2 linked regions of the Mus musculus genome follow. The protein of the gene in region 1 purifies or fractionates together with the protein of each later gene. This does not show direct contact. Links are inferred from orthologs where the notes say so. Each region holds a gene or a part of one and is shown in the gene's direction. Other genes may lie near its edges.

The links. The genes of interacting proteins can lie anywhere in the genome.
Region 2: the proteins of Wdr62 (region 1) and Cep170 purify together in Homo sapiens (affinity purification with mass spectrometry; 3 studies listed by BioGRID and IntAct, with this or other methods). This does not show direct contact. The link is inferred for Mus musculus from reciprocal best matches to the Homo sapiens genes WDR62 and CEP170.

Annotation. Positions count from the first base shown.
Region 1 is NC_000073.6:30,251,171-30,257,295, reverse strand, and holds part of Wdr62 (WD repeat-containing protein 62), read left to right. Parts: intron 1-1,365; coding exon 1,366-1,491; intron 1,492-3,042; coding exon 3,043-3,110; intron 3,111-3,191; coding exon 3,192-3,313; intron 3,314-4,904; coding exon 4,905-4,980; intron 4,981-5,651; coding exon 5,652-5,763; intron 5,764-5,840; coding exon 5,841-5,904; intron 5,905-6,125. UniProt on the Homo sapiens protein: Required for cerebral cortical development. Plays a role in neuronal proliferation and migration.
Region 2 is NC_000067.6:176,757,740-176,763,864, reverse strand, and holds part of Cep170 (centrosomal protein of 170 kDa), read left to right. Parts: intron 1-2,364; coding exon 2,365-2,514; intron 2,515-5,347; coding exon 5,348-5,468; intron 5,469-6,125.

The DNA of each region.
Region 1 (6,125 bases):
TAGAAGCATTGTTTCTCATCTAGGTTCACATGTTGTAGCTGTCTTGGCTTTATTATCGTCTTTATTCTGGAGTACTTCCCAGTCTTAACTTAGTATTTGGACTTGGGCTTTCTGCAGTGTACAGGCCAGTCATGTAGAGTTTCCCTCCATGTGGGGTTTGTCTGTTTTCTTCATCTTTTGGTTCAGACAATACACTTGGAATATCCTGTGTTGAGTGGCTTTTGTGCTGCTGTAATGAAATACCATGACCAAAGATCATGTACAGAAGAGAGAATTTATTTTACCTCATGCTTCAAGAGAGAGAGAGAGAGAGCGAGAGAGAGAGAGAGCGAGAGAAGCACTCTACCCTTTATGTCAGGGAAGGCCTGGCCTGTGACAAGAACAGGACATCAGCTGATGATCTGTCTGCACACAGGAAGCAGAGAGAGCAGGAAGTAGGGTGAGGCTGCAAGTCCTACAGCTGATCCCTGGTGACTGATACCCTTCCAGCAACACGGCGAGCTCCTGGAGGCTCCATTACCTCTCCGTATGGGAGGACCAACTGGGAACCACGTGTTCAACCACGTGACCTATGGGGCCATTTCTCATTCGGACCACCACATTATCCAGTTTAGATGGAGTTAGATCCTACTATAGCATGACGATTCTCAGTACCAACCTTCATTCTTTCATCCTCCACACGCTGCCCACCAGATTCTCTTTCAGTGTCTCTTTCCTGAGCTAGCCCAGCCTCGGGCGGTGTTATTAAAACTCTACTAGGGGGCTGGTGAGGTGGCTCAGCGGGTAAGAGCACTGACAGCTCTTCCAAAGGTCCTGAGTTCAAATCCCAGCAACCACATGGTGGCTCACAACCACCCATAATGAGATCTTATACCCTCTTCTGGTGTGTCTAAATGAATATTTAAAAAACAAAACAAAACAAAAAACCTCTACTAGGTGACCAGAGCAGGCAGAGTCTGAGAGCCAATAAAGAGGAAGAAGGCCCAATGAAAGGATTGGCTGAAAGTGGTCAGCAAGGCCTGCCTGGGGTCTGGGTAGCCAAAACTCAGAGCTGGACCATGGTTTAAAGTGAGGCTAAGAGAATGCATGGCAGCCCACAGTAGGACTCACAGGAGGAGTGCTGTGGTATGCTTAGGTACCTACTGCAGATAAGTGTAGTACACACACACAAGATTTGCCTTTCCTAAACTGGGGCTCTGGGAAAAGACTGTCTGGAGTCCAGGACTTGGCCTGTCTTGGTTTGGAGCAGCTTAGGTGAAGCTCTCAAGCCAAAGACCCCCTTCTCCAAGCATTGGACATCTCAGTCACCTGCTTATCTGGGAAGTAGAAACATTGTTAGCCCAGGCTTGTCCTCTCCACTTACAGGAGTGACTTTGCTGGCTTCAGCCAGTCGGGACAGACTCATCCATGTGTTAAACGTGGAGAAGAACTACAACCTGGAGCAGACCCTGGACGACCACTCCTCCTCCATCACAGCCATTAAGTTTGCTGGTAAGCTCTTCCCTCCCTCCTGCAGGCCCCCAGCAGATGGGGCTCTTTGTTTGCAAGGAAGCACAGTCGTGCCCTGTGGCCTGAGAGAAAGGAGTATCAACCAGGGGAATCTAAAGACTGATTTATGATTTACTGAAAATATCAGTAATGCTACTTTAAAAGTGATTGGGAGGCCTCAGCAGTACTGTCTCGAACCTTTAATCCCAGGACTCAAGAGGCAGAGGCAGGCGGATCTCAGAGTTTGGGGCCCACCTGGTCTACAGAGTGAGTTCTAGGACTGCCAGGGTGACACAGAAAAACCCGGTCCTGGTCTCAAAAAGAAAAAAAGGACTTGTTTTGGTTCACAGTTTAGGAGAAGATAGAGTTTTGGGTAGGAAGACATGACTGCAGAGTAGGAGACAGTATCCACAGTCAGGAACAGAGAGGTGCATGCTGAGGCTACTCCATACAGGGCTGCCCCCATTCAGGGAGGGTCATCCCGCCTTGGTTAAACCTCTGCAGGTTTCCTCACAGTCACCTGCTGTGTTACAGAGGTGGTTGATCTGGTACTGCAGCTGTACCAGCACAGAGGCAGAAGAGATGGCTCAGTGGGTAGAATCCTTATAAGTAAGCATGGTGATTTGAGTTCCAATCCCTATCACCCACATAAAAAGCTACCTGTAATCCCAGTGTTGAAAGTGTAGAGACATGAGGATTCTTGTGAACTCCAGCTTCAATGAAAGATGAAGACCTAGATAAAAAAAAAAAAAAAAAAAAAAAAAACTAAGGTGGAAGAGGCAGACACGATGGCTCAGCTGGTAAAAGGTACTCGCTGCCAAGTCTGATGACCCTGGAACCCACATAGTGGAAGAGAGAACCAGTTCCTGCAGGATGTCCTCTGACCTCCACATGCACACTATACACTGTGTGTACAATAAGTTAATGTTAAGAAAAGGTAGACGGAGACAGGAAGATACCTGCTTGAGTCTTTTAACCTGTGGGATCGTGGGCCTATAATCTCACTACTTGGAAGTGGAGATAGGTAGATCCTGTGCAGCCCACACTAGCCTCAGACTTAGTGTGGAGCTAACTAAGGATGACCTTGAGTTGATCTCACCTCTGTTTCTTAAGTGCTGGGATCACAGGCATGGATCACACACACGGTTTTCACTTGTTCTGATTTATCTTACAGTACTGTGGCCTTGAATATACTAAACAAGGGTTGTACCAGTGAGCTACATCCCTGGCCCTTAGTTGTTCTTGTTTTTTTGTGACAGAATTTCCTATAGCCAAGCTGGCCTAGAATTTGAGTTCCTCCTGCCTCGGCTGCCCAAGTGCTGGATTACAGAGTGCTGGGGTTGCCAGTGTGCACCACCCCCCGTGTCCTGTGTGCCCATGCTCTGCCCAGACCTGCCTCACACAGTGTCTTAGAAGGCCTCCCACCAGTAGGAACCTTTCTGATCCTAATAGAGTTGGTCGCTTGCCCTGAAGTAGGATTTCCTAGCTTCCCATTTGCCTCCTTCCTATGTAGCATAGGGTAGCCCTGTCCAGCCCCTTCTCCTCCTCTTCCAGGCACCAGAGATGTCCAGATGATCAGTTGTGGAGCTGACAAGAGCATCTACTTTCGCAGTGCCCAGCAGGTAAAGTGGGGTGGCCTCCTTGGGGACTAAGATCAGGATCTTGTCAGGGGTGCCCTCTGAAGGTCTTGCCTGCCCTGCCAGGCCTCGGATGGACTGCACTTTGTCCGTACCCACCACGTAGCAGAGAAGACCACCTTGTATGACATGGATATCGACATCACACAGAAGTATGTGGCAGTGGCCTGCCAGGACCGCAACGTAAGGTGAGGAGTTCCCTGTGCCCTTTGTTGGCCTGGCCCCGGCTTGCTTCCAGCTTGGCCTAGTAAGATCTTGCTTGCTGACTGTCTTCTCCCTGAGGAGACACTGCCTGCTTTTTCTCACTGTGCATCTGTTTCTGGAGAAGCTGGTAAGGCTGATGGACCCCGCCTTTGTTTCTTAGATGTGCGCTTCAAGCAGGCAGGTATTATACCTACTGTGATAGCAGTTCTTAAGCTGGGATGAGGTCACTCTTCAGAAGAGCTTTATGAGGAGAGCCAGAGGCTCTTGGCTGTAGGCAGCCATGTGGATAATATGACAGAGGTCCCAAAGGCAGTGGCAGCCTTTCCGTTTCCAGAATATTAGGAGAGGCACAGCCTCATGCTAGTGTGATGAGATTTTTTTTTTGTTTTGTTTTGTTTTGTTTGTTTTCGAGACAGGGTTTCTCTGTGTAGTCCTGGCTGTCCTGGAACTCACTCTGTAGACCAGGCTGGCCTCGAACTCAGAAATCCACCTGCCTCTGCCTCCCGAGTGCTGGGATCAAAGGCGTGTGCCACCACGTCCGGCTGTAATGAGATTCTTAAAGGGAGAGAGAGCTGGAGCACTAGGAGAGTTAGTGCAGTCTATGACGAGCACAAGAGAGTCAGTGGTAGACCCTTCCATGCCCAGAGTGTTAGGTCTAACATAGGCAGCATTGAGGGGCCCCAAAAGGAGAGACGGGCCTTTCAGTTCTGTAAGACAACGTAGGTTTCTGAGGGGCTCAGGGTAGGAGGATTCATGTGCCCTAGAAGTTACACGGCACTGATAAAAGTAGTTATAATTGAAGGCTGTCTCCCAGCTGTCTGAGGGAGAGAGAACTCAGCTCTGTAAGAGTCGCAAGGTCACAGCAGCTCTGCTCTGTAGCTGAGAAAGACTGCAAGAGGACAGAGCCTCTCTTCAAGGGGAGGAGAGTGTCAGAGGATCCTGATCCTCATAGCAGTGTGTGCCTGTAATCCCAGCACTGGGGAAAAACTGGGGGTTCAAGGCCAGCCTTAGGTACATAGCAGCAAATTGGAGGCCACCATGACCTACACAAAACTAGGTGCCTCCAGCAGGCTTAGCCAGCAGCAGCCCTGCAGACTGTGGCTCTCCTGGGTCTGTGCGGACAGAGAAGTCACAAACTCCTCATAGCTTACTTAACTGTCTCACTGGGCACGAGAATGCTGCTGTCACAGTGGGGCCACAGTAGCCCAGCCCTCCATCATGAAGCTCAAAGTCCAGGAAAGTGCACAGTGGTCAGGCCTGAAATGAAGGGAGCCTTGGGAGTCCTGAGTGGCCTGTAGGAGGGTCAGGAGTTGTCAGGGTTAGTTAGCCTGGGGAGTGTGTTCTCTGCTTCCTTCCTGGCTCCTCCTGCCTGGGGCGAAGCCCTAAACTTGCTGTGTGAAAGGGAGTCGATGCCAAGTCAACAGTGCTCCAGGACATAACCTCTCTGCCGGAGGCGGGGCTCCCTCCCAGATGTCATGGAGACTGGAAGAAGCAGAGGCTTCTAGAGCAGAGGGCAGCAGGGCCAGGAGGAAAGGAGGTGTCTTCTGCTCCAACATGGCAACCCCACTTCCCCAGGGTCTACAACACCGTGAGTGGGAAACAGAAGAAGTGCTACAAGGGTTCCCAGGGCGACGAAGGGTCCCTGCTGAAGGTGAGGGTGAACCTCAGACATAGCCCCCAACACAGCCCCCACTCTCTGTTGTCCGAAGGTCTCTGTCCTTGGTGCTTATTAAACACTTGCACTGAACAGTGCGTACTCAGACCTGGCTAGCCAAGGGTGCTTGAGTGGAGCAGAGGGAGGAGTCCTCTTGCTGAATGCACTGTAGTTTGGGTGACCGTGGGGTGTGGCTGGAAGAAGCAGAGAGACTTTCAGTCCTTTCCTGGCTTGTTCTCCCACAGGGCACAGAACAAGCAGGCACTTCTCAGAGACTCTGGCCCTAGGGAATTGTTCTTAGGTTAGGGTCCCTGAAGAGTTACCAGCTGTACCTCAGACTGACTGTGACCTTGGGCAAGTGTCAGTCCTGTTTGATCGCTGTCAAATGCAAATAAAAGCAGCTTCTATGCTAGGGTTGTTCTGCAGAGGGTTAAGTTCCCAGGCACTCAGTCCTTAGCCTGGGCCTGGCCACCACCATTTCTGCCCTGGTGGCTACTAATTCTTCACCAGCAAAGTGAGAGCAGAAACTGCTCTCCTGAGTTGATTCCCTGGACCAAGTGTCCAAAACAAGAGAGGTGGTCCCTCGGGGTGGTACTGAGATGTTTGGCCCAGGCATCCAAATTGGGATAAAGCACGCAGCTCAGGGTGACATGTGACTCTCCCCTCAGGTCCACGTGGACCCCTCAGGCACCTTCCTGGCCACAAGCTGCTCTGACAAAAGCATCTCCTTGATTGACTTTTACTCGGGCGAGTGTGTTGCCAAGATGTTTGGCCATTCGGGTAGGTGCCTGCCTGTGCCTTCTTTCCTGCACCCACAACCTGGCCCAGATTAAGAATGGCCTCTCCTTTGCTTGCAGAAATTGTCACTGGCATGAAGTTCACCTACGACTGCCGCCACTTGATCACAGTATCTGGAGACAGGTAGGACAAGTGTGGAGGCTGCCCTGGGTGGGCCTTACTCTAGGAGTAGGTGGGCATGCATCGTGGGGAGAGGGGCTCAGTCCTAGCATGCTGTGCTTTTAGCCTGCGTGGAGAGTGCTTCAAAGCTCCTAGCTTACTCTCACTTCGGTCAGTATACACCTTGAGTCATTTCCAGCCCTAAGTTCCACCCCAGATCTGTCGTTTCCTTGTGATGTTGAACA
Region 2 (6,125 bases), on another chromosome or scaffold:
AAAATAAAAAACTTAAGGCTAACAAAATGCAAGTACCTTGAGGTATTCATGATAATAATGACAGGTAAGCCACTTTCTATTCAGGTGGTAAATCAAATAACGAAGTACATATGGATGAAATCTAGTGACAGAATCTAGAATCAAAAATGGAAACCCTTGCAAATTTGGTGTCTGAAGCACTCCCAAGTTCTAGACCATTATCAGATCACATGTCAGAGTGTAGTATTTTAGAAGTGAAGAAAATTGTGCATGCCTCAGAGTATGCGTGTAGGCATGTAACTAGCTGTGCACTGTTTCCACATGCAGGATGTCACAAGCAAATGTCTGTGTGCCTCACACAGAGATGAATGCATTCTAGGTTAAACTGGACTATCCATTGTTATCTTAATTTTTTCAGTATGTTGTAAAAGCTGGCCATGGTGGCTTATTTATCCTATAATTACAGCTCTTGTGAAGCTGAGGCAGGAGGAATGTGGTGAGTATGTAGGTCAGTCTGGATTACAGTATGAGATGCTCAAAAATAATTAATAAATTAATTAACTAAATCATAAATGTGAAACCTAAAGCTTTTTGCCACACTGGAATTCTTCCTGCCCTGTATGGGAAAGAAGTAATTTGCAGTTCTCTAAAAGATAGATGTATAGGTGTATCTCTGATAAGAGGATGTATAGAAAATTGCTAGGAGTACTATCTGTTGCCTTCAGCTCCCACTAGAGCTGAAGTATTCAAGCTATAATTTGTTACCTTTTCAAAATAATAGTCTATTAACAAGGTACTATCCAAGTCATTTTTACTAGGAGTATTTTGAAGAGATCGACCATATTCTTTGTTGAAAACCACTGATGAATATATTTTAAGAAGCCAAACTTATATCTGATGCAATTAAATATCTCCAAATCAGAAACTATAAATTGGCATGCCATACTGATGCAAAATGTAAGAAATTATATATGGTTATTTTTTTACCTTCAAATGAGTTAGATTTTTCTAGTTATATAAAAATAACAAAATGAACCAGTAAATTTGAAGTGAACCATTTTGTAAAAGTCACACATGAGCCACTTCAGCAGCTAGTGTTGCTTTCCTTATAAATCAGGGTAAAGTGACAGAACACAGGTATACCTTCTTTGTCATGCTTAATCCACTCTGTTGTTTAGGAAGGTGAAGCAAAGAAACTGTACTCCCATCTATACCCTGGTTTCCATGTACTATTAAAGGTCTTATTTATCTTAAAGTTAGTAACGTGCAGCCTGTACGTAAAGCAAAGATAATTCTAACCAAATTCTTGGGGGAAAAAAACTTGTCTTTAAATTAAGCCATAAAGCCATCTAGTGGTAAAATTTTCACATTTCACTTATCAGATCACTTTATGACCATCAGTTTCTTTTTTCTGTGTCTTGGTGTAGCAGGCATGCCCAACCTACAGCCTTTGCACTATATATGTGCCAATATAGCTATGAATACACTCATATGCAAATGAGAGTCATGTGTCAGTGTGAAAAGAGTTGGCACCACTGAAAGTGGTATTCTCTTATAAAAAGTGGAGGTCCTAAAGGTTATTTCTACAGATTACTAGTTCAATGATATATGTTTTTATTGTAATAAACAAGTTCAAACTGAATAGTAAAACGAAATGTTAAATGTGATTCACTATAGCTTTTTTTTTTCATCTGTTTGCAAGGTCTAATATCCAAGTCCCTTCATGTGCCAGAAAGTAACTAACACTGAGGTCTTGCCTGATGGGAAAATAAATTGGCATGGCTATTGTCTCTGTGCTGAGCTTTTCAAAGTGCTGACCATTGATAGTCACTAAAGTTGATCTGTGTGAGTAGGTCAAGAACCTGCATTTCAGACAAATTACTATACTCTGTTTGAAAATCATACAGTGAAATTTGTTTGGAACCATAGGAAATTATAGGTATAAATGCAAGTTATATATGTAAATAACCATTTTAGTGAAAAAACAAATAAAAAGAGGCATGTGTTTCTGCTCTCTAACGTGCTTCTCCAAAATGGAAACAAGAAACAAGCTGAGAGTGTGCTCGAGTATTTTCTTGACTCGTTCCATGATTTTAATGTTTAATGTCAAGTCCTTTAAACAAATCTAATGTAGTATTTTGAATATTTAGTTTCATCAGCTGGAATATTTGCTAACTATTAAGGATAGTCACATCTACAGCTGCTGGCTTCATGTCCAGTCCAGCTGGAAGTCACCCTGTCATTACACAAGTTTCCCTTGTTTCTGAAATTGCCAGCTGAGGGTAATTTAGAATTTTTTTTTATTTGCTTTTGATGCTGTTGATATTCACACACTAATCTGGTGCCCACATTTATTTTCATTTTGAAACAAATTTTTCCTTCTAGGTATTTGGAGTAGATGACAATCAGGATTATAATAGGCCTATTATCAATGAAAAGCATAAAGGTCTCATAAAAGACTGGGCTCTCAACTCTGCTGCAGTAGTAATGGAAGAAAGAAAGCCATTGAGTACACCTGGGTTTCATAACTCAGAGGTATGCAATTCTTTTTATAGCATAAAATACAAGTTTTCATCATTTGGAAGTTATTTTAAGTATATATATCTCCCCTTGTGAAATGCTTAAAAAACTAAATTTGGACTTTTTTATAATTTTGAATGAAAATGTAAAGCAATTCTAGTTTTCATTGTCCTTTCAGTGTTAGTGAGTGAAATAATTACAAATCAGCAAACACGTAATAAGCTCCATATTCCACTTTGTAAGTAGCACAATGAGACAAAACAAGAAATATACCCTGCTTATATTCTGTGGGGGTTATGTGTTTGCAATTAGAAGACTGAGCAGGAAACATGAGAGGGATACACTTGATCGCTGCAGTAACAACCAGTGTGGTATCCTGGATGTAAGGAGAGTCATGTAAGAACAACTGATCACTGATGTAAGAGCCAGTGTGGTACCCTGGATGTAAGGAGAGTGATGTAACTGAGGACAGTTTGACCACATAACTATGACATCAGAATTCCATTCCAGTCTATGTAGCAAAAGGGAATATACTTGCATAACACCTATGTTACTGGTTCAGATAACAGGCAGTGACTTCTAGTGGAAGCAGCCTTCAAGCTGTTTTAAAAATAAGGAAAATGCAGTGCAAATTAACTTGGCTGCTATCTTAAATCTTGTCATTTGTAAGGCCAGAAACCTTAAATGACTTTGATTTTTTTTTTTAAGTTTGAGGTGAGCACTGTGTGTGCATGTGCGTGTGTGCATTCACGCGTGTATGTTGCACATGCATGTGGGAGCCAGAGGAGCACATGCATGTTTTCCTCTATTACTGTCTGCCTTATTCCTTTAGGACAAGGACTTTGACTGGGCTGCCCAGCTGCTTGCCTTTACTGTTGCTGCTGATGTCACAAGCACACACAGTCATGATCAGCTTTTTATGTGGGTGCTGGGAATTTGAACTCAGGTTGTCGGGTGCTCTTAATCACTGAGCCATCTCTCCAGCCTTTTTCTTAATTCATCACTTTACTCTTTAGATTAATTTTCTCTAAGGAGTAAGTGAGTGATGAATAAATATAAAATGTAAATAAAAGAAAATCCAAGTTACATAACATTACTATTTCATTTATATTCCTACAAATATGTTTTTAGGGACAGATAAATAGATCTGTATGCTCAATAGTGTTAAAATTGTTACCCTGCGGTTTGCTATTTTCTGAAAATTGTTAGAACAATTACAGGCTTTTAGTGTTCTTTATTTCTCTTAAACTTAGGGAAGTTTTATTCTAATTTCTGTTTAATTTACTCACTGAAAACAGATGATATTAGTAATGATATCAGGCAGTGTGTTGGTATTTTGATAAATCCAGGGAAAGGTTTTTGTAAATTACTTTAGATTCCCTCGTCTCTCTTCCTCCATCTATGCCAGGTAAAATTCATATAGTTCCAGTAAGTTACTGTCTTTGTAGCCATCGTGTAACAGGCCATTAGAACAAAGCACAACATGCCATAAGTATATAATAGTGAAGCCGCTCTGTTGTGGATGCTCTTTGCACAGTGCAGGATCATCTGGTACTGTCTTTGGTGCTCAAGAGTTATAGATGGGGATTGTAAGACCTTGGAAGGGAGTCCAAGAAGTCTGCTAACTTTGGTGTCCAGTTTGTCTATATACATCTTTCTCTACATTTATTTCAATCTATTCTTGATACCATACAATATATTGTCTACATGAATCATTACTTTATCAGTATCTAGCATCAGTTTGCTCATAATTAACACAGTAACTTTTTAAAAAAAGGTATATTTAAATAGCTCAAAATGAACTTTTGTAGTTTTATATTTTTAGTGTGAATGGCTGCCTGAGTTAAGGTTTGGGTGAGAGGTGTCTTTGTTCTTTACAGTACTAGGGATTGAACCTGCCTTGTACTTGCTAAGTGAGTCTCTACCACAGAACTATATATCCCCACGCTCCCTTTCTGTACGTCACTAGGTTTCACAGGCTGATCCCACCTCTGATTTCAGCTTGAGATAGATAACTTTTATATTACCCTCAGCCTACAAATGCTAGGGTATGTCCATGAGTTAAGGGATACACACTTCACTAGAAGGGTTCAAAGACAGATAAAAACATAGATGGGTCTGGGTACAGACTGGGTATAGCAAATTTCATAGTGTGTTATTTTCAGCTTAAATATCATAGAAATACCAGGCTTTGGTTTCCTTTTTTTAAGATTTATTTATTTTTGTTTATATGAGGACACTGCAGCTGTCTTCAGAGACACCAGGAGAGAGCATCAGATCCCATTACAGATGGTTGTGAGCCACCATGTGGTTGTTGGGAATTGAACTTGGGACCTCTGGAAGAGTAGTCAGTGCTCTTAACTGCTGAGCCATCTCTCCAGCCCAGGCTTTGGTTTCTTGAAATCTATTAAAATATAACCTAGTATATTTGATAAGTCTTGAAACCCTGAAGCCAGTCTGATTTCTTAGAAAGTATAGGACTAACAGGTAACTTTAATTAATAACCCTTTAGATTCTCTTCCTTTTAATGGAATAAAACCAATTGCACTGGGCTAGCTGCAAAGCTGTGATTTGTGTCTGTCCTCCTCTGGCAACAGAATAACTGTTGTACCTAGTACCATGTTAGTGTATAAGAAGCACAGGAGATTGTATACTCCGTTCATAATAAGAATACATTGTGGTTGAACGGAACAGCTAGAGAGCCTTGATTGAAGAATCAATGCATCATAACAAGCTGAGCTTGAGACATGGCTTCTGTGTCACATGCTGTGACTGAATGAAGTTCTCGCTCATGAAAATGAGCATTGGCAGGGTTGTTGCATTCTCTCTCTCTGTTTTTCTCCTTTAGGAAGCCATATCTTCATCTGGAAGCAAACGTTGGGTTTCACAATGGGCTAGTTTGGCTGCTAATCATACAAGGCATGATCCAGAAGAAAGGTTAATGGAATTGTCTGCAACTGTAGAAAACGGTAATTTCTCTCTCCTCCTCCATGTTTACCTCTTTTCTCTCCCCTCCCTCCCTCCCTCCCTCCCTTCCTCCCTCCCTCTTTTAGTGGACCATGTGTATTTAAAAACAAAACAAGCTAAACTTAATACAGTTAGAAGTAAATTAAGCTTAAATGAAGTAAACTGAGGACTAGTGTATATATTATACAAGATGCTATGCTATGCCACCTAACCCCAAGTCCTTTTTCCTTAAAAACTTTGGTGTAGTTCATAAATTGAACCTTCCAAAGACAAAAGGATAACTACTAAGATTTAGTATTTCATTTTCAGACACTCTGCTTTTTTATTGTAAATTTTTGCTGTTCAAGTACAATTTTAAAACTTCAAAAAATTAACCCTTCTTGATATGCCAATCTGTTAGAAAAATATGTAATTACCATTATAGTGTAATCATAAAGATAAGGTAATAATTTGCACATGATTCATATATGTATGAATTTATATTATAAATTAAGGTGTCAAATATTGATTTAATTATTTTCTATTTCATTTTTTAGTAATAATGTTACCTTGTACTACATAAGTATATAGTATTCTAAATTATCAGTTTACACTTAAAAAGCTTTACAGTTAATTTTACACATTAAAATGCAAAACAAAGACTCACATATGATCCCTTC